Linked DNA regions of Callithrix jacchus. The protein of the gene in region 1 binds, or shares a complex with, the protein of each later gene. Links are inferred from orthologs where the notes say so. Each region holds a gene or a part of one and is shown in the gene's direction. Other genes may lie near its edges. The genes, in order: RUVBL2, PFDN2, KAT5, ANP32E, MORF4L2, PFDN6 and BRD8.

Region 1 (4,160 bases):
GCTGAGGTGGGAGGATTGCTTGAGCCTGGAAGGTGGAGGCCACGGCAGTCCAGCCTGGGTGGCAGAGTGAGACCTTGTCTCAAAAAAAAAAAACTCACGGGAAGGAAAGTTGGGGATAGGTGACTTAGCATGCTGGCTTCTTAAGCTTCCTTTTCCTTGTTAGAAATTACAAAGTATTAGCCAGGCGTGGTGGCTCACACCTGTAAACCCAGCACTTTGGGAGGTTGAGGCGAGAGGATCATGAGGTCAGGAGTTCGAGATCAGCCTGGTCAACATAGTGAAACCCTGAGCCTAAAAATAAATGAATAAAATAAAATAAAAAAGAAATTATGAACTATTCTGAACTATTTTCTGACAAGAAAATAATGTAACAGACATGCAAAGATCCACCATCCAGCAGTGTTTTGTTTTGCTTTTATTCAAGACAGAGCTTCACTCTGTCTCCCAAGCTGGAGTGCAGTGGTGTGATCTCGGCTCACTGCAACCTCCACCTCCCAGGTTCCAATGATCCTCCTGCCTCAGCCTCCCAGTAGCTGGGATTACAGGTGTGTGCCACCACTCCCAGCTGATTTATTTTTTATTTTTATTTATTTATGTTTTGTGAGACAGAGTCTTGCTCTTGCCCAGGCTGAAGTGTAGTGGTGTGATCTCAGCTCACTACAACCTCAGCCTCCCAGGTTTAAGCAATTCTCCTGCCTCAGCCTCCCAAGTAGCTGGGATTACAGGTGCCTGCCACCATACCCAGGTAATTTTTTTGTGTTTTTAGTATAGATGGGGTTTCACCATATTGGCCAGGCTGGTATTGAACTGCTGACCTCGTGATTTGCTTGCCTTTGTAGGGCTAAGGGCCCCACAGGGTCGTGAGGTGTCCCTTAATGCTGTGCTGAGGCACAGGATCCAAGAAAGAGACAGGACACGGAAGTGCAAAGAAAGCACAGCTGGGCTGGGAGTGGTGGCACACCACCTGTAAGCAGAGACAGGTGAGGCCTGAATGTCCAGAAGCGTCTGTATTTATTGAGTATAGGTTAGGGGGCAGGGTAGTGAGTGAAGTCATCTTTAAGGATAGTGATAGGGTCGTGAGCAATAAACAAGGGGTCCACCCCTATTAGGTCATTGAGGCAAGGAGGCAGGCCTTGTGCAGTAAGGGGTCCACCCCCGTTAGGTCACCGAGTCATGGAGGTGGGCCGTGCGCAGCGAAGAGGGTGCAGTGTGCAATATCTCTTATCTATGAGAGTGTCTGTATGAGGATGCTTTAAGTAACACAGCAGTGACAAAGCTGTCAGGGTCTACCGCCACCTGCTGGCAGCTTCCAGTGAGTTCTATAGGAGGATGCTTTTGAGCCAGCACCATAGCAAGAGCTGATAAGTTCACAGTCACCAAGGTGGATTGCCCGTCTGAGGGCAGCCTTCCACAAGAACTGGAGCAAGGTCCTACAACTCCTTTATCAGGAGGAGTGGCTCTCGCCCCAAGCCTGCCATACAGCAGGTATCTTTACGATACTGAACGCTGCTGCCTGGGCCATGGATTCTTGTCCTGGCATAACTGTTTGTCCCTTAAATCATGCTCTGAACTGTGTCTGCTCCAGACATTCCTCTGATTATAAGCTGCTTATTCCTTAATTAATGCTCTGTACTGTGTCCACTCTAGGCATTCCTCTATGAACTAAGGTATAATCATATACATATAGGGAAATAACTGAGTGGTAAGATATTCTTTAGGCACGCATTCTATGAACTAATGTATGATTATATATAAAGGATTGTGCGAAAGGGAATAACTGAGCAGTAACACTGTAGACTGAGATATTCTTCAGGCACTAATTGTGCCAGGATTCTGCTTAGCTCCCCTCCCTCGGCGCCTATGTAGAGGGTTACCCACAGCCTTGACCTCCCGGAGTGCTGGGATTACAGGCATGAGCCACTGCGCCTGGCCAATTTTTGTGTTTTTTGTATTTTTAGTAGAGATGGGATTCACTATGTTGGCCAGGCTGGTCTCGAACCCCTGACTTCAAGTGATCTGCCCGCCTCAGCATCCCAAAGTGCTGGTATTACAGGCAGGAGCCACTATGCCCAGCCTCTTGTTTTTTTCTTAATAGCTTTATTGAGATACAATGCACATACTATATAATTCACCCATTTAAAATGTACAGCTCAGCATTTTGTAGTATATTCACAGAGTTGTGCAGCCATTGTCACAATTTTAGATCATTGCCTTCACCCCAAAAAGAAACCCCATACCTCCTACCTGTCACCTCTAATCCTCCCATACCCTCCTGTCTTCAGTTCTAGGCAGCCCTGGTCTTTCTCTGTATATGGATTTGCCTGTTGTGGCTACTTCGTGTAGATGGACTCATACAGTATGTGTCTTTCACGTGTGGGCTTCTTTCCTGTAGCTGTTATTTGTGTCCAATGGTACCGAGTGTTAAACACATTGAATAAGGAGTCTTCCAAGCAGGCTTTGTGTGGGTGTGGGCGACAAGGCCATCTTATTTCTCACTTGGGTGCAAGCAGGCCGAATCCGAGAAAGGACAAGGGTGGGAATTGATTTGATAGGTTGGGGCAATTTTTTGCGGGGGGTGGGGATGTTGCAGAGTAAGATCAGTTAAGTGGCGGGGGGTAGGGGCAAGGCGTATACATTACGATAAGTTCAGTTACAATGGCAGGTGGTAAGGCAGAAGAGTAGTTAAGATGGCAGGGTGGGGTGAGAGGCTTGTCCTGGGGAAGCTCCGCTGGGTGATTGGGGCTGGTGGGGGACGACAGTCAGCCGAGGCAGGACTTCAGACTTTCTGGGTCCAGGCTTGCACATGGAGACCTGACGTTCCTGTCCTTTTATATAGACAGAGAAAGAGAGAAGAGGGGGTGATGACAGGTTTCGGGGGGTGAGGGCTAAGTGTCTCAAGGCTACTTTGTGCGTGATGGGACCGCACGGACACCTAAAAATTTTTTTTTTAGTGGAGGAGACAGAGTAGAAGTGGGAACAGGACAGGGACGAAAATAGGAAAGGTCTGGACACGACGTTTGGCCTCACACATGCTTCAGCTGCTGGGGAACTTTGAGGCCCCGCGCGGTATTGTGGGGTTGTCCAGAGCAGCAGGTGCCGATTTGTGATCGCCTGGATGCGGTTTCGGATGAATTGGGAGGGTAAGCGGAAGACACAGGGTCCGAACAGATGGGTGTTAAAGAAGTAGGGATCGGAGGGAGCCGGGACCTCCAGTTAGAGAATGGCCAGGCAGGTTCGGCGGAGGTGTTTGCCTGGTCAGCAAACTTCTGAGTTTTTTGATATGATCATACACTAGGCCAGATTGCTTTAAGTAAAAACAACATTCTTCGTTTAGAAACATAGAGTCCTCCTTTTTCTGCGGTAAGTCGAGGCCACGATGGTTTTGGAGATCAGCTGCAGCCAGAGTCAATTTGAGCCTGAAGGGCAGACAACGTATTAGCTAATTGGTAATGTGGGCAGAGAAATCAGCAGACAGACTGCGGAATGCTGTGACGGAGGAGGTGAGCCCTGCCGTGCCAGTTCCAAGGCCTACCGAGGAGGCTGCAAGCCCTGTTCCCACGAGGAATGGAGTTAGCTGCATAGCTCTTTCTCGTCGGGTAGGTGTCATGAGGGGGACAGGCAGGTGTTCGTTACCAGTGGCAAATTGGATCTTAGGAATAAGGAAGACTAAGGGACAGGTGCCTGTCCAGTTAGTGGCAAACACATACAGTTAGAGGAGCCACCTGGGAAGAAAAGGCCTGGAGCGACGCAGAATTGAAAACACAGGGTGAGGCCGGGCGCGGTGGCTCACGCCTGTAATCCCAGCACTTTGGGAGGCCAAGGTGGGTGGATCATGAGGTCAAGAGATCGAGACCATCCTGGTCAACATGGTGAAACCCCCTCTCTACTAAAAATACAAAAAATTAGCTGGGCACAATGGCGCATGCCTGTAATTCCAGCTACTCAGGAGGCTGAGGCAGGAGAATTGCCTGAACCCAGAAGGTGGAGATTGTGGTGAGCCGAGATCGCGCCATTGCACTCCAGCCTGGGTAACAAGAGCCAAACTCCATCTCAAAAAAAAAAGAAAAGAAAACGCAGGGCGAATAGGTGAGAGGGAGTATTGAAAGGGGAATCAGATGCCCAAATTCCTAAAGCTCCAGCGAGGATGGCAGCTGTTAGGG
Region 2 (4,668 bases), on another chromosome or scaffold:
GGAAACCACCCAAGGACAGCCAGAGTCCACATTCCCTGGGGGGAGGGGACACTGACTTCTCAAGGCTGTACCCTCATATTTGGCAATCTAGGGGCACTGCCCAACAAAGATTTTACCTCTCCCTCCCCCATTCCCTGATACCTGGCAAGCTGGGTGTATTCTTCCAAAAGTTTCCCACCCAGTGGTTCAGACAGGTGTAGCGTCTCTGCAGGGTCCCGTGCAATGAAGTCAAATGCTTCAGGCAGGAAAGCCAGGCAAGCACCCAGTCTGGCAGCCTCTCGAACCAGCTCAGCACATGTTTTAAAGTTCTGTTGCTTGTCTGGCGTTGATGTTACCTGGCACACAGCCACGAGGGGCAGTTTGCAGGAGGAAGAGGAGATAGCCATGGCTCTGGGCCTGTGAACAGCATAGACAGGATTCTCAGATTTCAGTGCATGAGGAAACAAAATTAATGCTAAAGGGTGCAAGGGAGGAAAGCTGGACTTCCTTTTGATCCTGCTCTTACAGGCCCAGGGCTAGTAGGGCTTACTAATCAAATGTGGATAATTGACAGTCCTGTGTCTCCCATTATCCATTTAACAAACTGAGCATCTAAGTGCCAGGCACTGAGGACACAACAAAACGTGTTACCTGGGCTGAGCACAAAGTACAGAGAGTCGAGGTATCCGGAGTCCAGGACACAGAAAGGACAGGAGTCGGTGAAGAGGCCTGGTGAGGAAGCCCAGCCTGAAGAAGGTGAGAAATGAGGGCACCAATCCCTTCCTTGAGCAATAAATTTCTTGGATTCTCTGACTTCTCTTTATACTGTGAGCCCGAATCAGGGCCCTGCCAGCAAAAACCTTCTGGTCTTCAAAACATTTTTTACTTCTGTAAGTACTTATGGGCTAAGGGACGGTGGAAAGATGGAGGAAGGGGCTCTGCTCGCCTCCTGAACAGATCAATTTTCAATGATCTCACATTAAACTGAAGCCCTTTTCCTCTGACAAACGTTTCCGCAGTCCAAAGTCATCTCCGGGAACTACCCTTGGTTTTCCCAAGACTCTCTTCTTGACTGTGCACTTGCACAGATTTACTGACTCAAAGCGTATTTCCCCTTTCACCAGAATCTCTCAGGAGGAAGTTCACCCTAACTCGACTCCCACCCCTCCAAGGTGGGCAAGGGGCAAAGGAACCCAGGCCCCACGCCGCGCCCCGCTCTCCACCCCCCGCTCCAGTTGGCCCGTCCCTCCCCGCCTCTCCCAGGGGCAGCATCTCTGTCGCACAGGTTAAAGCACCGCAAGTGGGATTCCCTGCGGCCGACGGGATAGGGAGTAGGTCCTACATGAAAATACTGCCAAAAACATTCGCAGGATTCGAGCCGATCCGGAGGGCGGCCTGGAGCCAGAGGCGCCGGGGCGAGTGGGCGGTAACTCGCAGGCCGGACGTGACGCAAGGTGGGGGGGGTGCTGAGCTGCGCCGGCCGGAAACCCAGCAGGCGACGAAGATGGCGGAGAACAGCGGTCGCTCCAGCAAGAGCAGCGTTAGCGGCGCGGGGAAGGGGGCGGTGTCCGCAGAACAGGTGAGGAGTGGAGAGCGAGATGGAGGGTCCCCATCTGGGTCTGGAGTATTTGCGAGAAGGGGGAGCCTGTGGCTTGTGTAGGCCTTTACTCCAGTACTACATGTGCGTTGCACCCAGAGAGGGAAGGGTCCCCGGAGAAGCTAGTCGAGCCCCTTGGGAGAGGTAGACGGTTGGGCAGGTGAGAGCCACGCCTCCCTGGGGTGTTGGGTGAGCCTGGGGGAGGGGAAAGCCCTGACCTGCAGGGTCTGGGAAGATGCACAGGTCTGAGGAGAGATGGTTCGCTGCTTTCTCCATATCTCCTCAGCACCTCCAAACAGGTTATGTCTGGGCAAGACAGCTCTAAAGTAACTCCCCATAGGATTAGTTAACGGGCTGGTTGTGTAGTCTGTTACGTGATCCTGAACTCACTTTGACAATCGCCGTCACGCTGCAGAGCCACGTGACTCACATACTCGAACAGCCTAGTGTTCCATACTATATGGATTCGAGAGTTCGGTACTAGATCGAATTTCTTTAGAGACTAGAAACCCCTTTCTAATCCCAGTTTGCATTTTCCCCAGTGCCTAGCTTCGGGAAACGTTTAATAAGTTAATCACAAAGCCCTTGTGTCTTGAGAACCGTGTTTTGCCAAGTGGAAAAATAGGAGTTGGAGGAAATCTGCCCAGTGAAAATGAAAAAACAGCTATTTTTTTTGAGACAGAGTGTTGCTCTGTTGCCCAGGCTGGAGTGCAGTGGCACGATCTCGGCTTACTGCAAACTCCGCCTCCCGGGTTCAAGCGATTCTTCTGCCTCAGCCTCCCGAGGCAGGGGCCATCGCGTCCGGCTAGTTTTGTATTTTTAGTAGAGACGGGGTTGCACCTTATTGTCCAGGCTGGTCTCGAACTCCTGACCTTGTCATTCGCCTGCTTTGGCCTCCCAAAGTGCTGGGGTTATAGGCGTGAGCCACCGCGCCCGGCTCTTCATCAGGTTTTGTTGAACAGTTAATACAGACAGAGGTATCAGCATAAAGATTTTTATTTTTTGAGACAGAGTCTTGCTCTGTCGTCCAGGGCGGAGTACAGTTGGGTGATCTCGGTTCAATGCAGCCTCCACCTCCCTGATTCAAGCAATTCTCCTGCCTTAGCCTCCCGAGTTGCTGGGATTAAAGGCAGGTTGCCCAGGCTGAGTGCAGTGGCGTGATGATAGTTCTCTGCAGCCTTGAAATCCCTGGGTGATGAAGCCATCCTCCTGACTCAGCTTCCTGAGTAGCTGGGACTATAGGCATAAAACATTTTGAGTGGCTAATTAAAAAAAATTTTTTTTGGTAGAGATGGGGGGAGTTCCACTTTGTTGCTTGGGATGCTCTTGAACTCCTGGCCTCAGGTGATCCACCTGCCTTGGTCTCCCAAAGTGTTGGGACTGCAGATGTGAGTCACCTTGCCCAGCCCCCTGTGATACTTTTTAAGGATACCATGTGTCAGGCACTCTGCTGGGTACAGCAATACAGATACAGTAGTTCCCCCTTATCCAAGGGGGACATGTTCCAGCACCCCAGTAGATGCCTGAAACCTGGGGTAATATTGAACCCTATGTTTTTTCACATACCTATGATAAAGTCTAATTTATATAATAGGTGCAGTAGTTAATAAAATAGAACAGTTCTAACAATATACTATAATAAAGATTACATGAATATGGTCTCTCTCTTTCAGAATATTTTATTGTACTGTACTCACCCGTCTTGTGATGATGTGAGATGAGAAAGTGCCTTCCTGATGAGATGAGATGAGATGAGATGAGATGAGATGAGATGAGATGAGATGAGATGAGATGATGAGATGATGAGATGATGAGATGATGAGGTGAATGACAGCATTGTGATGTAGCCTTAGGCCACTACTGATGATAAGTCAGAAGGAGAATCATCTGCTTTAGGTGATCTCACATCATTGAGCCATGACGATATTGAGCAGGAGAAGTTGACTAAAGGGCAGGTAGCATATATAGCATGGATAGTCTGGGCAAAGGGATGATTCACATCCTGAGCGGGATGGCTCGAGATTTCATCACGCTATTTTCCTAACAGCATGAAAGTTAAAACTTATGAATTGTTGGCCAGGTGCCATGGCTCAGGCCTGTAATCCCAGCACTTTGGGAGGCCAGGGTAGGTGGATCACCTGAGGTCAGGAGTTCAAGACCATCCTGGCCAACTTGGAAAACCCGTCTCCACTAAAAATACGAAAATTAGCCAGTCCTGGTGTTGGGCACCTGTAATCCTAGCTTCTCAAGAGGCTGAGGCAGAGAGAATCACTTGAACCCAGGAGATGGAGGTTGCAGTTAGCCAGGATTGCACCGTTGCACTCCAGCCTGGGCAACAGAGTGAGACTCTGTCTCAAAACAAAAAAACAAACAACCTTAAGAATTATTTCTGGAATTTTCCATTTTCAGACATTGGATAACTCTGGATAATGAGAGACTATTGTAAATGAAATAGACTTTGTCTTCAAATCGCTTTACTCACAGACTCATTTGAGAAAAGATGAATCAAACAATAAAGATTTATAATGTGCTACACAATCCCTTCATTATGGCAGCTAGAGGAGAGACCCCTAACTAATCATGAAGTTGCAGGACTGTGGGCAGGGGCTGGAAAAGGGAAGCTGTGGTATAGTAGGATGGCAGAGCATTCTTATGCACTAAGTTTGAATTTCATTTCTACCATTTACTATTTATATTTGACTTCCCCTATGTTACATCTTGGCCTCCCCAATCTGTAGAATCACTGTGCAAAACACTTTGCATGTATTGTCTTGCCTAATACTCTAAATACAGTCATGAGTATTTAGAGTATTAGGCAAGACAATACATGCAAAGTGTTTTGCACAGTGATTAGAACATAGTGTGTGTTTAGTAAATGCTTTTGTTTTCTAGAGAAAATCCTTCAGCTCAATTCTAAAGGATGAGAAAAGTTAGTCAAGCAAAGAAGGAAGTGGAAGATTTTCTAGGTAGAGGGAATAATGTGTTCCAAACACTAAAGCGTGAAACTGCCTGGCATGTTTGGGATGCGGGTGGTTCTAAGTGTTTGCGATAGATTACAGAATTTGATTATGGAGAAAAGAGGATAAAAGAGG
Region 3 (3,344 bases), on another chromosome or scaffold:
CATCGTCACCCGGATGAAGAACATTGAGTGTATCGAGCTGGGCCGGCACCGCCTCAAGCCGTGGTACTTCTCCCCGTACCCACAGGAGCTCACTACATTGCCTGTCCTCTACCTGTGCGAGTTCTGCCTCAAGTACGGCCGTAGCCTCAAGTGTCTTCAGCGTCACTTGGTATGAGGGGTACAGGGAGGCTGCCTTCCCAGCACTGTCCACCTTGCCCTCGTCCCTGATCCTCCTCTCTTCCCCAGACCAAGTGTGACCTCCGACATCCTCCAGGCAACGAGATTTACCGCAAAGGCACCATCTCCTTCTTTGAGATTGATGGACGCAAGAACAAGGTTAGTGCCTGAGAGGCAGTGGGGCTGTGGGGTAAGTCAAATGACAGTTTCTTCCTGCTCAGGAAAACTGACCAGTTGAGCCAGCAGATGGGTTCGGCCCATTTTTATTGAGTTCCTGCTGTCTGGCAGGTGCTGGTAGCCAGGAATGAGACAGTCTCTGTTCTCTGACAGCTTACAGTCCACGGGGAGACAGACATACCAACAACGTCTTCGATTCCAGTGTCATGTCATGAAACAGAGAGTAGGTTAGCAGGACCCAAAGGAGGTGGTCAGCAGAGCTTCACAGAGGTTAACTTTGAGCCGTGACGTGGAAGACAAAGGAATTTCTTGCAGTGGCATTCTGAGGAGTGGGCATGGATGCACAGAGATGGTCTTTGTGAGAGGCAAGGTCATGTGGCTGAGAGGCAGAGAAGGAAGGATGAGGGAAGGCTTTTATAAGGGACAGAGCTCAGGTGAAGAAGATGCTGTGTTAACCACCATTCTGTAATTATTAATGTGGACGTGGGCATCCAAGTGGCAGTACCCAGCAGCAATTTTTGGCAGGGCACAGTGAGTCATACCTGTAACCCCAGCACTTTGGGAGGCCGAGGTGGGCCAATCACTTGAGCCCAGAATTTCAAGACCAGCCTGGGCAACATAGAGAAATCCCATCTCTGCTAAAAATTTTTAAAAAATTGGCTGGGTACAGTGGATCACCCTGGAATCCCAGCACTTTGGGAGGACAAGGCGAGTGGATCACAAGGTCAGGAGATTGAGACCATCCTGGCCAACATGGTGAAACCCTGTCTCTACTAAAAATACAAAATTAGCCTGGTGGCATGTGCTTGTAATCCCAGCTACTCGGGAGGCTGAAGCAGGCGAATCGCTTGAACCAGGGAGTCAGAGGTTGCAGTGAGTCAAGAATGCAGCACTGCACTCCAGTCTGGCGACAGAGCAAGACTGTCTCTCAAAAATAAATAAATAATAAAAGAGCCTAGTGTGATGGTGCACATCTGTAGTTCCAGGCAATCAGGAGGCTGAGTTGGGAGAATCACCTGGGAAGTCAAGGCTGCAGTGAGCCATGATAACACCACTGGGTGTCTCAAAAAAAAAAAAAAAAAAAAACAACCCACAGTCTCTGAAATGCAGAAGTTCTGTGCAGAAATAAAGCAGCATTATTCATAATTTTGCTGGGGTAACCCCTAAGGCAGTTAAATTCCAGAATTCTTTAACTGTCGTAGAATTGCAGATCAGTTCCCAGGAGGTGTGACTATGGATGTAGAATGTTAGGTTGTTTTAGCAGCTAGACTCCCAAGATTGTCAGATAGGGAGAGCTCTCAGAAGCTGTGGTTGGAGTCTGACTTTGGACACATTAGTTTGTTGACTGCTGTCCAGCACTTTGGGAGGCCAAGGCGAGCAGTTCATGAGGTCGAGATTGACACCATCTTGACAACATGGTGAAACCCCGTCTCTACTAAAAATACAAAAATTAGCCAGGCATGATGGCGCTTGCCTGCAGTCCCAGCTACAATGGAGGCCGAGGCAGGAGAATCGCTTGAACCCGGAGGTGGAGGTTGCAATGAGCTGAGATTACACCACTGTCCTCCAGCCTGGGTGACAGAGTGAGACTCTGTCTCAAACAAACAAAACAAAAATGTTAAGGGGCAGTGGAGTCTCCGGGCCAAGCTTAGATAGAGGTGTGCAGAGCAAGGCAGGGAAAATTGTCGGACTCAGCAGGGAGGCATCCAGGCACCATCACACCTCTGGTGCACAAGCTTTCCAACACTGAGGAGCAGCCCTGCCTAAGCTGCGAGCTGGTGGAATGGGTCAGGCCCTGCCAGGAAGGAACAGTCATCACCTGTCGGCCTGGGGTTCAGCACAAACAGTGAAGCTTCTGGTCGACCCTGAACCACTGGCCAGGCTCAAGGCCGGGTACCCAGAGTGGTGACAAACCTTTTCTCTTGCAGAGTTATTCCCAGAACCTGTGTCTTTTGGCCAAATGTTTCCTTGACCATAAGACATTGTACTATGACACAGACCCTTTCCTCTTCTACGTCATGACAGAGTATGACTGCAAGGGCTTCCACATTGTGGGCTACTTCTCCAAGGTCAGTGCCGACCCAGGCTGTTGCTGTGCCCTGTCCTGAGCCAGGTCCCTTCCGTCACACTCACCTGTCTCCCTTTTTCAGGAGAAGGAGTCAACAGAGGACTACAATGTGGCCTGCATCCTAACGCTGCCTCCCTACCAGCGCCGGGGTTACGGCAAGCTGCTGATCGAGTTCAGTGAGTATGTGTGCTGCGGCCAGGGGGAAGTGCACCCGTCATCGGTGCCTCACAGGCAGATGTGCCGGGCTACTGTGATTCCCAGCCCTGGTTGTGCAGCCCAGTCTCTAGCGGAGCCAGCCAGGAATAACGGTGGCACTCTACTGGGGTTCCCTCCATTCAGGCCAACTGCCCTGCTCATCTGGGATAGGTTCTCAGCCCCACAGTTTGCTCCTTGGCTAAGGTTTAAGTGCCACTCAGTTGACTTACATGCTCCTGTCTGGGGCCATGGGCAGGAGGTTAGTGAGCCGCTGGTACTCATGTATCTTGTAGCGTGTGCCATGATACAGGTCCTTGGGCAAGGACCAGTGGTTAATGTCCCCAGTTTTCCCCTGAGCCTGGCAGGCAGTTGTACAAAATGCTGTTAACAAATAGATGTAAGCATGGCTTGCTCCTTGTATTCAGGAAGGTCGATCTCTTAAAGCCAGAGGGACTCTGACCTTCATCACACATGGGCTCTTCATTGCCCTTCCCAACCCTGAGGCCCCCTTCTCCTTCCAAGCCTCTTACTCTCTGTCACCCCCCATTCTGTCTACCTTACCACTCACCAAACCCTTGGAATAACCAAGCTCCGACCTGGGTGACAGGAAGTACTAGCTGGTCTGGTGAAGACACAGAGGCTTTAATTGATCAAGGTTATGGTCCATTTGAGGAATTTTATTGGTTAAATGATGCCCAGATGGGGTCACATCTTCAGGAACTTCTCA
Region 4 (4,717 bases), on another chromosome or scaffold:
GAGGTGGGTGCCACCACATCCGGCTAATTTTTGTATTTTTAGTAGAGACGAGGTTTTTGCCATCTTGGCCAGGCTGGTCTCGAACACCTGGCCTCAAGCGATCTGTCTGCCCAGGCTTCCCAAAGTGCTGGGATTAAAGCATGAGCCATCGTACCCAGCCAGAGATGCCATTTTATACTAAAAACTCTTTTCCCCCTCTCTTCGCCTTCACAAAATTTCCTTTGCAGGGAATTCAAAGGAAACATTGTAGAGACAACCATCGTTTTGTTTTCCTTTAAAGCATTTACATTTTCTTTATTTATTTGAGATGGAGTTTAGCCCTTGTTGACCAGGCTGGAGTGCAATGGCTGGATCTTGGCTCACCGCAACCTCTGCCTCCCAGGCTCAAGCCATTCTCCTGCCTCAGCGTCTGGAGTAGCTGGGATTACAGGTGCACGTCAACATGCCCGGCTAATAGTTTGTATTTTTAGTAGAGATGGGGTTTCACCCTGTTAGTCAGACTGGTCTCGAACTCCTGACTTCAGGTGATCCACCCGCCTCGGCCTGCCAAAGTGCTGGGATTATAGATGTGAGCCACCATGCCCGGCCAAAAGATAATTCTTATTTTAATCTTTCATATCCCATCCCACATAGATAAACTTTTCTTCTTGTGTCTTGAACACCAAATTTGAATCCCCTGAGGGGTTCTGTACTGTAATACCAGGTCCATGCATGAAGTGGACAAGCAAGCTCCTAGTCCGTCTTCCTGCTTCAAAAATCCATATAATATATTGGACTCGGAGAGAAGATACATCAGATAGTAAACTGATAAGAACAGATTCTACACTTGATCTTAGCCAAAAGGCAGAGAAGGATAAACACTTTTAAAAGACTACTTTACCTACAGATTTCCATGGAAACCAACCAAAGGGAAATTAGACAGGCATTGCTGTGCCATTTCTATGCTAATTAATGTCTGATTTTCATTAGGCCAGCGTTGTTTTTTCCGCCAAGGTCTTAGTGTTTATTACAGCAACAATTAGCTCAGTAACAATTCCTCCAGGATCGTTTTATTTAAATATTATTAACGTACATACTTCACCCAGCTGCTTTCAAAATTGTTGTCTTTTACGGTGTTAAACTACCATCTTTAAAATCTCGGCTCTGGCTCTGCATCACGGAAGGTCAGGCTCTGTGAAAAGCCTGACCCCAGCAGGACAATGCCACGAAGTCATCTTTTTAATGTGATGCGCGCGTTGCTGTACACCTTGGCTGCAAAGCAGAGTCTGTGCTTTTAAAACGGCCAACAGCCGGTGCGTGCCATGTGGTGAATTATCAGTATCGCAACTTGGGCACGGAAGGATGCTTTCTCCCTCTTTAACACTAACAACAGAATAAGAAATAAAAAACCAAAAACCAACTCCAACAGGCAACAAAACCGTCCGAGTGCCTAGGGAAAGCGCGCCAACTACATAAAGAAAAGTAGGGGGGCTACTGGGATTCAAAATCATTTCTCCGGGACGTACACCCTCCTGGACCTATCGAAATTAACTGCGCGCTTGATCGTAGCCAATAGATACGGAGTTTCTGGTCCAGGTCCTCCCTGAAGACTGATAGACGTTTACATTGCCCAATGGAATCATGTGACGCTGAAGAATCAACCAATACGTTTGGGAGGTGGGTGGAGTGTAGGCCAGGGGGTTGGCGGTGCCGTGTCATGGAGGCTCAGTCTCTGAGCAGCCATTGAAGGAGAAGGAACTGCGGGTGTGTGCGTATGTGTGTGTGTGTGTATGTGTGTGCGCGCGTGCGTGCGTGTGTGTGCGCGCGCTAGTGTGTGGACAAGGAGGTGGGGGCAGCTTAGTTAGAGTCCCAACTCTTGGACTCCATTTGCTATTCTCTTCTTTCTCCCTCACACCTATCTGGTGGTAGTGGGCGTTTATATTTGCGTTCCTTTTCATTCATTTCTGAATCCTAAAAATTGTGGGTTGGGGGTGGTGGGAAAGGCAGGAAAGGGAAAGGAAGGAGAGTAGTAGCTGAAGAGCAAGAGGAGGACATGGAGATGAAGAAGAAGATTAACCTGGAGTTAAGGAACAGAGCCCCGGAGGAGGTGAGATGACTCAGCCCCCACCCCTTCCCCATCAGTCCTGTATTCTGAGGATCGGGTTTCTGGGGATCCCGGTGGATGTGCGGGGATGGAGTAATAAGTTAGCCCCCACCCCCCGGGGCTAGGGTTGGAGAATTGTTTAATTTTAAGTTTTAAATCATTAAAATCTTCTACTTAAAATGGCGAAGGGTTGAAGTTTCTAGGGGCGTTTTTGTGTGTGCATGGGAGCTTAGCTCCTTCGGCTTTCATCGAGTCGGGCGTCCGGGCCTCGTGGGGGCGGGAAGCGGGCTGGTGGGGGCGCTCCGCCGCTCGGCTCCCGGCGTTCCTCCTCCCCGGGGCCGGCGGCGTGGGCGCAACCCCCAGTCCCACTCGGCCCCTGCCGCAGCCATCGGCGCCTGAGAAGTTAGTCCAACTTTTCTGCAGTGCGGCCAACTCATCTTTTCTGGGGGTGGGCTCCCCCGGCCTCGAGGCCCTGGGCGTCCGACGTCGCGCCGGTGGCGGGCTGGGGTCGCTCGCAGGGTCCGCGCGCGGTCTGCTCCGGAGGCGCCCACTCCTCCGGGAAGCCGCGCGCACCGCCCGCCACCCGGCGGAATCTGGGTCAGCGGCAGGTTCTCCGACCGCGGGCGAGTTTGGGGACTCGTCGCAGTGACCGGAGGTGGGGAGGGGACGGGAGGTGTAATCCGCTTCTTCCCCGCGCGGTGCAACGACATTTGGCACGTCGTGTGGCCGCAACTCTGATCCCTGGAGACGGTTTCACCAAACTCAGCATAAAGGGACGTAGTAGTTTCGTGCTTCAAAGATGGGTTCGGCGAAACTAAATGATGCGCTCTCACTGCTGTCGCCTTAGTTAAAGAGACGGGGTTGGGAGGGGCCACGCGAGGCGGGGTCGCGGTCAACTTTTCTGGGGTCGGGCGGGAGGCGTTTCCGCCTCGTTTTCGCGGTTGCCTCCTGGGCCTCACCTACCCGGGGCGAACGCGGGACGGCAGCGCGAGCTGGGAGGCGACCCCTTTTTCCCCTGGGGAGTCTCCGCCCCCCGTGGGGTTTCCCGTCAGCCGGAGCGGCAGGTCGCGAGAGCGGGGCGGGTGGCCAGCGGGGAGGCTCGCGGAGGAAAGCAGCAGTCTTGCTGAAATAAGCTCTAGAATTGGAATATGAGGGAGGTGTGTAGAGCTGGACCGACCGATCGATAGCATATAACTGGGGTGGTGTCTGTGCAGACCCGCAGAGAAGATGAGCAAGCTCTGAGCTTTCGCGTCCGGCGTGCGGAGTGGGAACTCACACTTTTTAAATTTTTTTATTTTTAGGTCCCTGTTTTCCTGAAATTGGCAGGTGCCAGGGAGGGGATACGGGATATCAGGGTCATCCCGGAGAGAGCTTGTTTCTAGAGCTTATTATTAGAGGCTTCAGGAAAAAAACTCAAACTTTAAAAGCTGTCTCTCAGAAGCACACGTTTAGAATACTTTTTGGTGGCTTGGGTTGGAAAATTGGACACCCCCCGCCCCGCCAGGATTCTTTCACTTAGTGATTGTAGTAATTTCTTTGCCAGTTTTGGGGTGTTCAGGACGTTGCCGTTTTTCAGCTCCTTCCGCTCTGTTGTAATAACGGTCTCTTATATTTGTATAGACAGTTTACAAAGCACTTTTCCCGTTTGTTATTTACTTTCCTCCTTACTTGTAAGGTAGATTGTGTTGTAGATTCCAAATTAGCAGATGGGAGTCTCAGGGCGGTGAAATGAGTTACACAAGTGGAGGAACTGGTTTTCTGACACCAAATGTAGCAGCCCCCACCCCTCAGCTAAACGGAGTGGAGTCAGAACACTGAACCAGTACACAGCCCTGTCACAAACAAACTATGGGCCTAGGCATGTCATTCTTGACCTCTGGGCCATTCCTCCTCTCCAGAACGGAGCTCAAGATGCTCTCTCTGACCACAGAAATAATTTTCTCAGAGTCATATTCAAATAGAGAAGGTGGGATTCCTTGTTGCTAAATTTTAGCTCACAGATACCTCAAACAAGTTTTCGCCTTGGGTGTAGAGAACTACAGTCTTCGGCCTTTCCGTTAAAGATTAAGGCCATTCAGGCCTACACCAGGAAGTTTGTTACTACAACTCTTACCTAATAGGGAATTCAGCCCCACTTCCTCAGGAATGGGGAGAAGTGCACAGAAATGCTATTATACCACAGTGGTAGGGAGAAGTAACATTTTGTTAAGAATGTATTGTTCTGGGTGATACTGTTTGGCCTGGATGTGAGAAGAAATGACACCCTCTGGGCTGTTCCCAGAAGTTTTCTAACATTTCTTCATGAAGGGTAAGGAGGTTTCTTTTGAGTTATGATGGCATTTATCAACCAAAGGGAAGGGGGTTTAAACTAAAGAAGTGATTAAACAGGCTGGGTGTGGTGGCTCAAGCCTGTAATCCCAGCAGTTTGGGAGGCCGAGGCGGGTAGATCACGAGGTCAAGAGATCGAGACCATCCTGGTCAACAAGGTAAAACCCCATCTCCACTAAAAACATAAAAATTAGCTGGGCATGGTGGTGCGCGCCTGCAGTCCCAGCTACTCGGGAGGCTGAGGCAGGATAATTGCTTGAACTCAGGAGGCGGAGGTTGCAATGAGCCGAGATCGTGCCATTGCCC
Region 5 (3,992 bases), on another chromosome or scaffold:
GATTCATTTAATTGTTCAAATGTAAACATATAAACCACATATTTATAAATTACTCATTTTTTTCTTAGATGATTTCACAAAAGTTCATCTTCATTGCAGATACCTGCTTTTCTTTCTAGGTTGTATCTCCCACTTCACCCTTCTAGACCATCCCAGAAGATTTATAAGATTTCATCTGGGAAATCACTAGGAGTTCTTGGAAGGGAAAGAAGGAAGATTGTGTAAGTCAAAGGAATTGTTTCCTCTGTCACACCCTAAGAATAATGGAAGTCTATTTTTTGCATCCTTATCTTACTAGCACTCCCTGCTGCACTTTGCACTGTAGATTATACCTTTTTCTTCTTGGAATTCTTACCTTCTTTGGCATCCAAAATAACATTCTTCTAATTCTCCTATGGCTACTCTTAACATTTTTGTTCTGTTTGTGGTCTCTCTCTCTGCCCATCCCTTAAATGCGTTTAGTCCTTAGGTTTTCCAGAATTCCGTACTTGAAATTCTTTTTCCCTGATTTTCTTGGCCCTCGTAGTGTCCACTACCAGCTATATGATGTTTACTCTCAGATCTCCATTTCTGGCTTTTACTTCTCACACAAGCTTTAATTTCTTTGTGGGGAGTACCCAGTTAGCTGGACTAAACTGAGCTTTAAAATTTTATGTTTAACTGTACACCTCACACGCAATATCCATTTCCTCCTCCTGTAAATGGAGTAGTATTATAATTTGGTGATAATATTAATGACCTAATCACCTATACCTGGGAGTCATCACTGACTCCTCCCTCACCAATCTTTTTTTTTAACCTTCAACAATCACTGATGGTCATGTACCATTTCTTCTGTCTGCTCCCAAACTATTTTGTGCCTATAACTATCATTATACTAACCTTACTGTTTTATAATTGTCACTTTAGATATTTGGATCTCTAGCACCTACCATAGTACTTGTCCCAAAGCAGATATGCAGTAATGTATAATGACAAACTGAATAAATTAATGAATGGATGAATTACCTATGTTCTGTCATTTTATTTCTGATTCCAAACTAAGCCCTAAATTTAGTGCTTTTATTAAATTCATTGATTACCCAGGCTTGAAAATGCAGATTTCTCCCTCCTTTGGTTACTCTGTTCTTCGTGGTTGCTTGCTGTATTCATCAGTTTCTCTTGACTCTGCCATCATCCTAGTTCAGGCCTTTCTGGACTTATACAAGAACCTTTACTGTTACTCATTTTGCCCCTAGGCAACTAAATATAAACTTCCCTATTCCACATTGTCATTTCTCCTGTTCAAAAGTCTTAAATTTCAGCTCCACTGCCTTTTATACTTTCTTTTTCACTTAATTTCTTCTTTCTTTAAAATTGCTTTCCTATCTTTTGAGTGGCATCAAGAAAGTAATTTATGAGTAAATATGATGAGTATTTGGGTGAGATGAGAGTAGTGGCTGGTAGTGAGGAACAGAGAGAAGAGAAGGAAAGGAGGTTAAAAAAAATCACTTACGAAGGGTCCTAAAATAGGATTTGAAATCCAGATTTTAAGAGAGTTAGAATGTGTTATGCTCTGATGGGCCTTTACGAAGCATAAAGGTTGCCATAGAAAACAACCAAGTAAAATATTTTATATATTACAGTGGTTGGAATAAAAACAGGGTTGAATGAGTTCCAGAAAGCAGGGTTCTCAACCTCGTGGACAACAATCTGCAGAAGAAGACAACTTTAAAAAACCAACTAGAAGCAACATGCAGAGAAGTAAGATGAGAGGGGCCTCCTCAGGAAAGAAGACAGCTGGTCCCCAGCAGAAAAATCTGGAACCAGCTCTCCCAGGAAGATGGGGGGGTCGCTCTGCAGAGAACCCCCCTTCAGGATCCGTGAGGAAGACCAGAAAGAACAAACAGAAGACTCCTGGAAACGGAGACGGTGGCAGTACCAGTGAAGCACCTCAGCCCCCTCGGAAGAAAAGGGCCCGGGCTGACCCCACTGTTGAAAGCGAGGAGGCATTTAAGAATAGAATGGAAGTTAAAGTGAAGATTCCTGAAGAATTAAAACCATGGCTCGTTGAGGACTGGGACTTAGTTACCAGGCAGAAGCAGCTGTTCCAACTCCCTGCTAAGAAAAATGTAGATGCAATTCTGGAGGAGTATGCAAATTGCAAGAAATCGCAGGGAAATGTTGATAATAAGGAATATGCGGTTAATGAAGTTGTGGCAGGAATAAAAGAATATTTCAATGTGATGTTGGGCACTCAGCTGCTCTACAAATTTGAGAGGCCCCAGTATGCTGAAATCCTTTTGGCTCACCCTGATGCTCCAATGTCCCAGGTTTATGGAGCACCACACCTACTGAGATTATTTGTAAGAATTGGAGCAATGTTGGCCTATACACCCCTTGATGAGAAAAGCCTTGCATTATTGTTGGGCTATCTGCATGATTTCCTAAAATATCTGGCAAAGAATTCTGCATCTCTCTTTACTGCCAGTGATTACAAAGTGGCTTCTGCTGAGTACCACCGCAAAGCCCTGTGAGCGTCTACAGACAGCTCACCATTTTTGTCCTGTATCTGTAAACACTTTCTGTTTAGTCTTTTTCTTGTAAAGTTGATGTTCTTTAAAATCGTTAATGTATCACAGGGCTTATGTTTCAGTTTGTTTTCTGTTCTGTTTTAAACAGAAAATAAAAGGAGTGTAAGCTCCTTTTCTCGTTTCAAAGTTGCTACCAGTGTATGCAGTAATTAGAACAAAGAAGAAACATTCAGTAGAACATTTTATTGCCTAGTTGACAACATTGCTTGAATGCTGGTGGTTCCTATCCCTTTGACACTACACAATTTTCTAATATGTGTTAATGCTACGTGAAAAAACGCCCTGATTCCTAGTGCCAAAGGTTCAACTTAATGTATATACCTGAAAACCCATGCATTTGTGCTCTTTTTTTTTTTTATGGTGCTTGAAGTAAAACAGCCCATCCTCTGCAAGTCCATCTATGTTGTTCTTAGGCATTCTATCTTTGCTCAAATTGTTGAAGGATGGTGATTTGTTTCATGGTTTTTGTATTTGAGTCTAATGCACGTTCTAACATGATAGAGGCAATGCATTATTGTGTAGCCACGGTTTTCTGGAAAAGTTGATATTTTAGGAATTGTATTTCAGATCTTAAATAAAATTTGTTTCTAAATTTCAAAGCAAGTAATTTGCAGTGTGCCTTTCATGTTACTGAGGCTGGTATTTTGTGGTTATTGTAGAAATTTTAGAAAACAGAACAAATATAAATAAGAATCATATAATTCTCTTGGATCAGTCAGGGTCCCAGCAATAAATAAATGGGACTCCGAAATGGATGATTTGAGAGAAGTTAAGGATTTTTTTTTCCCTGAGTTGTCACCAGAGGGGTAAGGTTGTGATGTGGGCTGCCATAACAAAGTATTCCTTGGGCTGCCATAACAAAGCACAGACTGATTGGCTTAATATTTTCTCACAGTTCTGGATGTTGGAAGTCAGATCAAGGTTTTGCCAGTTGATTTTTTTGAGGCCTCTCTTTGGCTTCTACACGGCCATCCACCTTGTCATCACATGGCTTTTTTCCCTCTGTATCTGTGTCCTAATCTCTTAAAGAAAACTAGTCATCAGATTAGAACCCACCCCAATGACCTTATTTAATTTAGTTATCTCTGTAAAGACCCTGTTTCCAACTACAGTCACATTCTGAGGTATTGGGAATTAGGACTTCAACATGAATTTGGTGGGTGCACAATTCAGGCCATAACATAGTGTTACTACCCCTCTGCAAAGGAGGCTAAGAGGAATGGAAGCAGGGAGGGGGATAGCAGAGGGTGGGAAGGAAGGAGTTACTGGAATGGCATACAGCTGTGTAGAAGGGTCCACCTGACAGTAGCTGTAATCTTCAGGATGTGGTCAGCTCACAGCGACCCTGAAAAGAAAATGGAATGGGGGAACAAATATTTGACTTCACTCTCTTTCCTTCCATCACCTCCTGGGTATTTC
Region 6 (3,570 bases), on another chromosome or scaffold:
TTCTAGCCCCCATTCTTCTCTTGTCCTGCACCACCCATCAACCCTTTGGCTCCTTTAACTCCTCGCTCACCTTGGCTGCACTTGCAATGTCCACAGCCTCCACAATGTCAGCCTGGCATATTTTTGCTGTGTCTTCCCCATCCTCCCCTTCCAGAAACCTGAAAGCAAGGGTTAGGATGGCAGTAAAGTTTCCCAATATGAAACAAGTGTACCAACATAAAAACGAGAGAGTCCTATAAAGCAGGGAATGGGGTGGCCCAGATTAGGGCCCACTCACCCAGGTTCCTCAGCAAGCAGCAGCTCAGAACGAGCAGCTTTGATACTTGTTTCCTCTTCCTCAGCTTCCGCCACCTCAAGTCGGCTTCGAGCTTTGGCTTTAGACTGTGGTAGCTTTAACATTGTTGGTAGACAGGAGTGGTAGAAGAACCACAGAGTAAGTGGGGTCACAGGAGGGCTACCTGGCTCAGCCTCCATCCAACTCACTCAGACACTCCCGGCCTCCAACACTTCCCAACTCTCCAGCTGGACCTCACCTTTCGGGATTTGTCAATGCGACAGAACTTCTGGACCACCTCCACAGGGACGGGGGCGGGGCCTGGGAATGGGTCCTGGGCCTAGGGGAAGGAAGGACGCAATTAGCAGGCAGCCTTAAATTGACCCCAACCCCTTCACTCTCGACCTGCCTCGCCACCCATTAGGTCCCACGCTCACCCCGGACAAGCTCCGCTGGGACTCCGAATTCTTCCATTCTCGGGGTTTCTTCTGGACCTGAGGCTTCTTAGAGATCCGAGACTTCTTTAAGATGTGAGTACTTTTTGCTCCCTGGGGACGGAGCTCCCGATTCTTCTTGTTAGGAGGAGGCCCTGGAGAGGCTCCGGCTGCGGTCGGAACAGTCTCTTCCTCCCAGTATCGCCGAGGTTTCTACGGGCAGATCAGTAGCCCTAATAACTCCGCACCTACGCCACGCCCCCCGACTCCGCAACTAAAAACTTATTTTCCCACCCAGAGAGGCCTCTACCTTTTTCTTGGTCTGCAGTTTGTCCTTCTTGGGCGGGACATCCCTGCCCGGCTTGGGGGCCGTCTCCATCTCGCCCACCCGTACGGCGATCCACGTGCAAAACTCCTCTCAGCTGCCCTACAGTCGCCTTGAAAACTTCCGGAAGCCCTCTGTCCGTCATCCAATCAGCAGCGTACCAAATCTGAAGCTCTCTTAACGCCATCTTGAGTGAGGGCACGCTCTCTTTAGAGAGGCGGAACAGCTCTTGGCACCTTATCGCGAGCGACAGCTTATACAAGAGAGACTTTAAAAAAAAAAGGGCAGGTCCAGGACCAGGGACTAAGTAGCGGTGCGATTTCTTTTTCTGGATTAGTTTCCCCGTCTTGCCTAAAAATGTCCGAGTCTAGTCTTTTTAGCAGAACGCCACTCACTAAACATGTCAGAACTACACTTCCCATCAAGGATCAGAAAGAAACTTCCCGACACAGTCTTTTCCCAGCATTCTTTGTTTACTTCCGGGTTTATTACTACTAAAGGGAGAACGTGAGTAGGTTAGGATTTCGGTTGAGGGGTTCGGGGTTTCGCGTTTCGCCCATCATCTCCTGGGAACAGGGTGGAGTCGATATCCGGGACGTGGGGAGTTTGCGGTCCCCCTCAGGGCTGCCTCTTAAGAGTGCCATCATTTCCGCAGGCCAGATCAGAAAGGGGAACTCAGGTACCTTCCAGAGAGTAAGATCCAGCGCCCTTCTCTCGCTCCCCTTAAGCTTTCATCCCCGCCATGGCGGAGCTGATTCAAAAGAAGCTGCAAGGAGAAGTGGAGAAATATCAACAGCTACAGAAGGGTAAGGGAGCAGGGTCAGTGTGGCCTCGCCCGATGCACTCACAACCCAAAACCATACTAGGATAAGGTCTGTTGCCCCATCTGGGCCGTCGCGTGCGGAGACTTTCCCGCGTCAGTACTCGTCCCTATTCACTGACCCGCTGCCCCCATCCTTGTTTACTTCCTCAGATCCATTTCCTCCTGACTAGGATTGTGGGGATTGGTGGCACATTTGATGTTTCTAATCTTGCCTTTCCTCTCATCCCCAGACTTGAGTAAATCCATGTCGGGGAGGCAGAAACTTGAAGCACAACTAACAGAAAATAACATCGTGAAAGAGGTGAGGGACTGGGATTTGTGCGGCGAGGAGGGGCCTGTACTGGCCATGGTTCTGATTACATATGTCCCATCCCTCCATCAGGAACTGGCCCTGTTGGATGGGTCCAACGTGGTCTTTAAACTTCTGGGTCCGGTGCTGGTCAAACAGGAGCTGGGAGAGGCTCGGGCCACAGTGGGGAAGAGGCTGGACTATATCACAGCTGAAATGTGAGTCTAACTGAACCATTGGAGTAGAGGAGTTGAGGAACCATTGCAGAACAGCTCTCCATAGTCGCCCCTAGTCCAGTTCCTCCAGACCCCTTCCAACACCCCTTCTGCACCCTTCCCTAGATCTCAAGAAAGAGAAGTCTCTTTCTTGAGTTTAGCACCCTCCATAGTAAGTCCCACTAATTTCTCCTTTTCTGCTTGTCTTTCCTCAGTAAGCGATACGAATCCCAGCTCCGGGATCTTGAGCGGCAGTCAGAGCAACAGAGAGAGACCCTTGCTCAGCTGCAGCAGGAGTTCCAGCGGGCCCAGGCAGCAAAGGCAGGGGCTCCTGGCAAGGCCTGACCCCATGGTGGGGGAAGGGGAGGGGCGGGAATGAGGCAGCTCTGGGATCTATACTGTAGCTAATAAAATGCAAAAACACCTGCCTCTGTTTCCTGATCAGGCATATCTCCACAGCCCCTTCCACCTTAACACACACCACCTATATTACTCCCTCAGGTCCAAACTCTTGCACTTGAAATCTCTCTGTGGCACAGTGTTTTCTTTCTTGAAAGTGAAATCCCAAATGTCCTCAAACCTTCTTTTAACTCTCCCTCATCTTGGTTGGCATGATTCTTTTAGAAGGGCATTTACATTTGTGAATGTGAGGAATGTCAGTTTAATTGAAGAATACAGTTCTCTAACATGAGGCCCCAAGGTGAAATGTGATTACCCTCCTTGCCAGCAGTCCTGACATCTCTATTAGTACTTTTCAGCCTGTCTTCCTAGAATTTGCTTGAATATAGCTTAAACTGACTTAAAAGCCTAGCATGTAATGCTTTATGGTGTTATAAGTCCTCCTAAGTTTATATGTTGTCCATAAGGTTGTTCAGCCATTTCTTTGTCCAAAAATTGTTTTATACACATTTGCAGCATTGTTTGAGGAAACTGTTCACCAAGTAACTCACTTTTTGCTCCGTTCATGGGGATAGAAAACACTGTGCCCCTTCCTGCTCAATGGCAACTACCTTCAGCCAGTTCCCACCCCACTCATAGCAGCCAGTTCAAACACACTGCAAGTACAGGGGAGTAGAATTCAGGTAGTGTTTTGGTTTATTATCTTAGTGTTGTCACAGTGATAGAAACCCGAGTGGGAAAAGGAACTCCTGCAAGGACCTACTTTTTGCCATCCCCGTCTGCCCTGGGGCTCAGAGCCTTGAGGCCTTTG
Region 7 (4,160 bases), on another chromosome or scaffold:
TTTACTAAGTAATTGTTAGTCCTAGTTTAAAGCCCAACTTTGTCTAACTGTTTTTGAAGCTACTTTACCTGGTAAACAATGTAGTGCTCCTGATTATAAAGCTGTCTGTCTTCAAGGTATTGATAGCCCTGATTGACCACAGCATAGATATTAAGAGTAATACTGAGCTGCTTTCTTGTGGCTTGCAAAATCAAGGTACTAGAGATACCTGAGATTCTAGAATAGTGGAATAAGATTTGGAACCAGAGAACTGGGCTTGAATCTCAGACCTGCCACACATTGGTTTTGTGACTTTGTATAGGTAACTTAGCTTTTGAGTCTCAGTTTACTTTTTTTATTAATTGTAATGTATATATTTGATGAAGAGGTGATAAGAATTAAATGAAGAAAAAAGTGTAAAGCAGGGAAAGACAAAAAGCTCCATAAAATATTCTATAAACTTTATTGGTATTTGAATGGTGTTGAACTTGGTGATTTACAATATGCTGAACTTCAGCAGAAGTGACATATTTATTAATACCAGTTTTTTATTTCTTGGTGATTAATTTTCCTCTGAGGAAAAATTACCACCCTTTTTTTTTTTTATACAGAGCCTCGCTCAGTTGCCCAAGCTGGAGTGTGGTGGCACAATCTGAGCTCACTGCAAACTCCATGTCCTGGGTTCAGTCAATTCTCCTGCCTCAGCTTCCTGGGAAGCTGGGATCAGAGGTGTGAGCCACTGCACCTGGCCTTACCACCCATTTTTTTATATATGTTGTGTGTTCTAGTGCTTTGGTTCATTCCTAACTTGGAGGAAGATCTTAAGTAAGGTTAGAGAGAGTAAGGATATAGATGATGAACTTACTCAGTGCAGCAGTTGCTCTCATCCTTTGAGACCATAAGAATTTCTTAGCTGAGTCTTTGAGTAGCTATTGCTTCTTGTTTATATGCTTTCTTCTTACTTCATTTTGTGTACCTCTTTATATGTTAGGTGCTCCCACTCTTTCCCGGCTTTTAGAAGCTGGTCCTACACAGTTCACCACACCTCTTGCTTCCTTCACCACTGTTGCCAGTGAGCCTCCAGTTAAACTTGTGCCACCCCCTGTAGAGTCTGTGTCCCAGGCTACCATTGTCATGATGCCTGCGCTGCCAGCACCATCCTCTGCTCCGGCTGTCTCCACTACTGAAAGTGTAGCTCCAGGTGCGTCCCTGAGCAGCCACAAGGTCTAAAATTTGATTTTGAGCTTCATTAGAGAATAATGACCAAGAGCATCAGCTCCAATTCAGATGTTTCTTCTCTGTTCTACATAGACATGTGCCATCTTTATCCTTAGAAATAAATATCCTTAGAAATAGATGTGAGAAGACATGGGTGGGCATTTATGTGTTGCAGGGAAGAGGCTAAGTATACAGATATGAGCAGGCTTGAAAATATGTTCTCACCCTTATAAATAAAACTGAGGAGAAGAAAACATAGGCACATGTATAATGACTCTTTCTGACCTTAAGTGTTTAGATATTTAACATCTGTCTGTAGTGCTGATGTGATCTCAAGGTGGTCACTTTGTACCCAGTAAGCTTCTGAGATGTTTTCTCTTTCTGTTAGTGAGTCAACCCGATAACTGTGTTCCCATGGAGGCTGTGGGGGATCCACATACTGTGACTGTTTCCATGGACAGCAGTGAAATATCTATGATCATCAATTCTATCAAAGAAGAATGTTTTCGATCAGGGGTAGCAGAGGCCCCTGGAGGATCAAAGGCTCCCAGCATAGATGGGAAGGAAGAATTAGATCTGGCTGAGAAGATGGATATTGCTGTGTCTTACACAGGTGAAGAGCTGGATTTTGAGACTGTTGGAGACATCATTGCCATCATTGAGGACAAGGTAACTATTCAGCAAAGCCCCAAATAAAATAATCTCATGGGTCTTATGTAGGCTTCTCTTCTCAGCTTAGCTTTACTGCTGCTTTTTTTTTTTTTTTTTTAGAGACAGAGTCTTGCTCTGTCATCTAGGCTCAAGTGCAGTGGCATGATCTTGGCTCACAGTAACCTCTGCCTCCCAGGCTCAAGTAATTCTTGTGCCTCAGCCTCCTGAGTAGCTGGGACTACAGGCGCATGCCACCATGTCTTACTAATTTTTTGAATTCTTAGTAGAGACGGGGTTTCACCGTGTTAGCCAGGCTGGTCTCGAGCTCCTGGCCTCCCAAAGTGCTGAGATTACAGGCGTGAGCCACCATGCTCGGCCACTTTGCTACTTATAGTAAGAATTACTTAAACAACTCTCCTACTTCTGCCCATCTCCATCTTTGTAGCCCCTTGATGCTAACATACTAGTCATCTCCCCAGGCATATCCATGTCACTGATTTGCACAGGACACGTGCCTATTCGTTGTTTGCCTCCACTATATTGGAGAAAATTGAGAGAAAGCTACAAATTCAAGCTATCACATTTGGTGCTAACAAAACTGAGGGACTTGGGCTTCTTTCTGTGACTTCAATAGGCTTGTGTATTGTGGGACAGGTAGATGATCATCCTGAAGTGCTGGATGTGGCAGCAGTGGAAGCAGCACTCTCATTTTGTGAAGAGAATGATGATCCTCAGTCCCTGCCTGGCCCCTGGGAGCATCCTATCCAGCAGGAGAGGGACAAGCCAGTACCTCTCCCTGCACCGGAAATGACGGTCAAGCAAGAGAGAATGGACTTTGAGGAAACGGAAAACAAAGGAATACATGAACTGGTGGACATCAGGGAGCCCAGTGCAGAGATCAAGGTGGAACCTGCAGAACCAGAGCCAGGCATTTCAGGGGCCGAAATAGTAGCTGGAGTTGTTCCAGCCACAAGTATGGAGCCACCAGACCTCAGGAGTCAGGACTTAGATGAGGAACCAGGAAGTACTGCAGTTGGAGAGATTATTGAAGCAGATGTTGCCATTGGGAAAGGCGATGAGACCCCACTTACAACTGTGAAGACAGAGGTATTTAATAAAGATCCGGGGCTGGGAAGATGGAGGGTTATACTGTAGGTAAGAAGTGACAGCTTATGGAGGGTTATACCTTAGGTAAGAAGTGACAGCTTAGGCTTTTTGTTTTCCTGTTACATTCCAGAGTTCTACATGTTTGATGTGTCCAAAGCCCATAGGCTGTGATTAGTGCTATAAATACTTGTCTTATTCCTGTTAAGGTTACCATTGGCGTCAAATTACATGAGTAGGACTTAGAATTTCTTCTATAGTCTCATTATCATTGAAGAATAAAGTTGTGTGAGCTATAATGATTTACCAGTACTTAGGGTATTTTTTTCTTTTTTGGTTTTCAGGCATCCCCTGAAAGCATGTTGTCTCCGTCACATGTCTCAAATCCCATTGAAGATCCTTTAGAGGCAGAGACTCAGCACAAGTTTGAAATCTCAGGTAAATATAGCCCTCTTTAAACTAGCTTGAAATCACTTGCTTTGGCTTCTGAGGGATTGTGGGTTGTGGGCAAGTAGAGGAAGTAGAATAGGTCAGCATGGAAAGGAGAGCTACAGGGGATTACGGTCCATAGGAAGGCTAAGGTGGAAAAATCTTCAGGTAGTCTTTCTCTCCTCTGCAGACTCATTGAAAGAAGAATCAGGGACTATTTTTGGAAGCCAGATAAAGGTATTTCAGACTTTTCTTTATTCCTCTTGCCATGTGATTAGATTTCCCTATAGCACTACTTTTTAATGAATTTCAGTAAAGTCACATCGTTATTCTCTGATAAGAGACTGGTACGGAGTTGCATGGGGAAAAGCTGCAGTGGACAGTCAGGCATAATGGGAGTGCCTCCTAGCAACAGGTGCCTCCCATATGAAACAGTTTGTGAATATCACACAGTCCTTAAGAAACCTCGCTTGATACAGTTAGAGTGATTTAGAGTGGATATGGATACCAGAGCCAAGGAGAACATACAGGAATCAAGTTTATTAATTAGGCTATCCAAAGATAATCATCCGAAGTTTTCTTTTTTGAATTTTTAAAGCAGTAGTAACAAAGACTTGAATGTGATGTGAGCTTACTCCATCAGATGAGACACAAAATAAAAATTATTTTTGATAACTTTGTACCCAGGGTCAGAGTTCCTCTCAAGAGCAAGGGGAAAGAAGGAACGCCTCTTAGCTTAGTCTTCAGTAAGTAGCTTTTTTTTTCTTTCTTTTTAAAAG

What was found.
Region 2: RUVBL2 (region 1) and PFDN2 share a complex: the UniProt entries of both Homo sapiens proteins name them as parts of the PAQosome complex. The link is inferred for Callithrix jacchus from reciprocal best matches to the Homo sapiens genes RUVBL2 and PFDN2.
Region 3: RUVBL2 (region 1) and KAT5 share a complex: the UniProt entries of both Homo sapiens proteins name them as parts of the SWR1-like complex. The link is inferred for Callithrix jacchus from reciprocal best matches to the Homo sapiens genes RUVBL2 and KAT5.
Region 4: RUVBL2 (region 1) and ANP32E share a complex: the UniProt entries of both Homo sapiens proteins name them as parts of the SWR1-like complex. The link is inferred for Callithrix jacchus from reciprocal best matches to the Homo sapiens genes RUVBL2 and ANP32E.
Region 5: RUVBL2 (region 1) and MORF4L2 share a complex: the UniProt entries of both Homo sapiens proteins name them as parts of the nuA4 histone acetyltransferase complex. The link is inferred for Callithrix jacchus from reciprocal best matches to the Homo sapiens genes RUVBL2 and MORF4L2.
Region 6: RUVBL2 (region 1) and PFDN6 share a complex: the UniProt entries of both Homo sapiens proteins name them as parts of the PAQosome complex. The link is inferred for Callithrix jacchus from reciprocal best matches to the Homo sapiens genes RUVBL2 and PFDN6.
Region 7: RUVBL2 (region 1) and BRD8 share a complex: the UniProt entries of both Homo sapiens proteins name them as parts of the nuA4-related complex. The link is inferred for Callithrix jacchus from reciprocal best matches to the Homo sapiens genes RUVBL2 and BRD8.

What each region holds. Positions count from the first base shown.
Region 1 is NC_133523.1:42,836,929-42,841,088, forward strand, and holds part of RUVBL2 (ruvB-like 2), read left to right. Parts: intron 1-3,334; 5' UTR 3,335-3,449; coding exon 3,450-3,596; intron 3,597-4,160. UniProt on the Homo sapiens protein: Possesses single-stranded DNA-stimulated ATPase and ATP-dependent DNA helicase (5' to 3') activity; hexamerization is thought to be critical for ATP hydrolysis and adjacent subunits in the ring-like structure contribute to the ATPase activity.
Region 2 is NC_133519.1:20,975,586-20,980,253, reverse strand, and holds the start of PFDN2 (prefoldin subunit 2), read left to right. Parts: upstream 1-1,457; 5' UTR 1,458-1,483; coding exon 1,484-1,558; intron 1,559-4,668. Other genes in the region: NIT1 (deaminated glutathione amidase), read right to left, coding at 1-35, 142-396, 631-726, 1,322-1,323. UniProt on the Homo sapiens protein: Binds specifically to cytosolic chaperonin (c-CPN) and transfers target proteins to it. Binds to nascent polypeptide chain and promotes folding in an environment in which there are many competing pathways for nonnative proteins.
Region 3 is NC_133511.1:122,807,543-122,810,886, forward strand, and holds part of KAT5 (histone acetyltransferase KAT5), read left to right. Parts: coding exon 1-169; intron 170-246; coding exon 247-336; intron 337-2,282; coding exon 2,283-2,423; intron 2,424-2,504; coding exon 2,505-2,598; intron 2,599-3,267; exon of another isoform or gene 3,268-3,344. UniProt on the Homo sapiens protein: Catalytic subunit of the NuA4 histone acetyltransferase complex, a multiprotein complex involved in transcriptional activation of select genes principally by acetylation of nucleosomal histones H2A and H4.
Region 4 is NC_133519.1:10,158,742-10,163,458, reverse strand, and holds the start of ANP32E (acidic leucine-rich nuclear phosphoprotein 32 family member E), read left to right. Parts: upstream 1-1,706; 5' UTR 1,707-2,032; coding exon 2,033-2,086; intron 2,087-4,717. UniProt on the Homo sapiens protein: Histone chaperone that specifically mediates the genome-wide removal of histone H2A.Z/H2AZ1 from the nucleosome: removes H2A.Z/H2AZ1 from its normal sites of deposition, especially from enhancer and insulator regions.
Region 5 is NC_133524.1:99,729,926-99,733,917, reverse strand, and holds the end of MORF4L2 (mortality factor 4-like protein 2), read left to right. Parts: intron 1-119; 5' UTR 120-221; intron 222-1,625; 5' UTR 1,626-1,649; coding exon 1,650-2,516; 3' UTR 2,517-3,176; downstream 3,177-3,992. UniProt on the Homo sapiens protein: Component of the NuA4 histone acetyltransferase complex which is involved in transcriptional activation of select genes principally by acetylation of nucleosomal histone H4 and H2A.
Region 6 is NC_133505.1:41,531,047-41,534,616, forward strand, and holds PFDN6 (prefoldin subunit 6), read left to right. Parts: upstream 1-1,504; 5' UTR 1,505-1,540; exon of another isoform or gene 1,541-1,548; intron 1,549-1,688; 5' UTR 1,689-1,775; coding exon 1,776-1,839; intron 1,840-2,086; coding exon 2,087-2,157; intron 2,158-2,238; coding exon 2,239-2,363; intron 2,364-2,575; coding exon 2,576-2,705; 3' UTR 2,706-2,788; downstream 2,789-3,570. Other genes in the region: WDR46 (WD repeat-containing protein 46), read right to left, coding at 71-158, 278-390, 534-614, 712-921, 1,019-1,087. UniProt on the Homo sapiens protein: Binds specifically to cytosolic chaperonin (c-CPN) and transfers target proteins to it. Binds to nascent polypeptide chain and promotes folding in an environment in which there are many competing pathways for nonnative proteins.
Region 7 is NC_133503.1:36,572,785-36,576,944, reverse strand, and holds part of BRD8 (bromodomain-containing protein 8), read left to right. Parts: intron 1-970; coding exon 971-1,180; intron 1,181-1,585; coding exon 1,586-1,866; intron 1,867-2,502; coding exon 2,503-2,955; intron 2,956-3,296; coding exon 3,297-3,390; intron 3,391-3,571; coding exon 3,572-3,618; intron 3,619-4,160. UniProt on the Homo sapiens protein: May act as a coactivator during transcriptional activation by hormone-activated nuclear receptors (NR). Isoform 2 stimulates transcriptional activation by AR/DHTR, ESR1/NR3A1, RXRA/NR2B1 and THRB/ERBA2.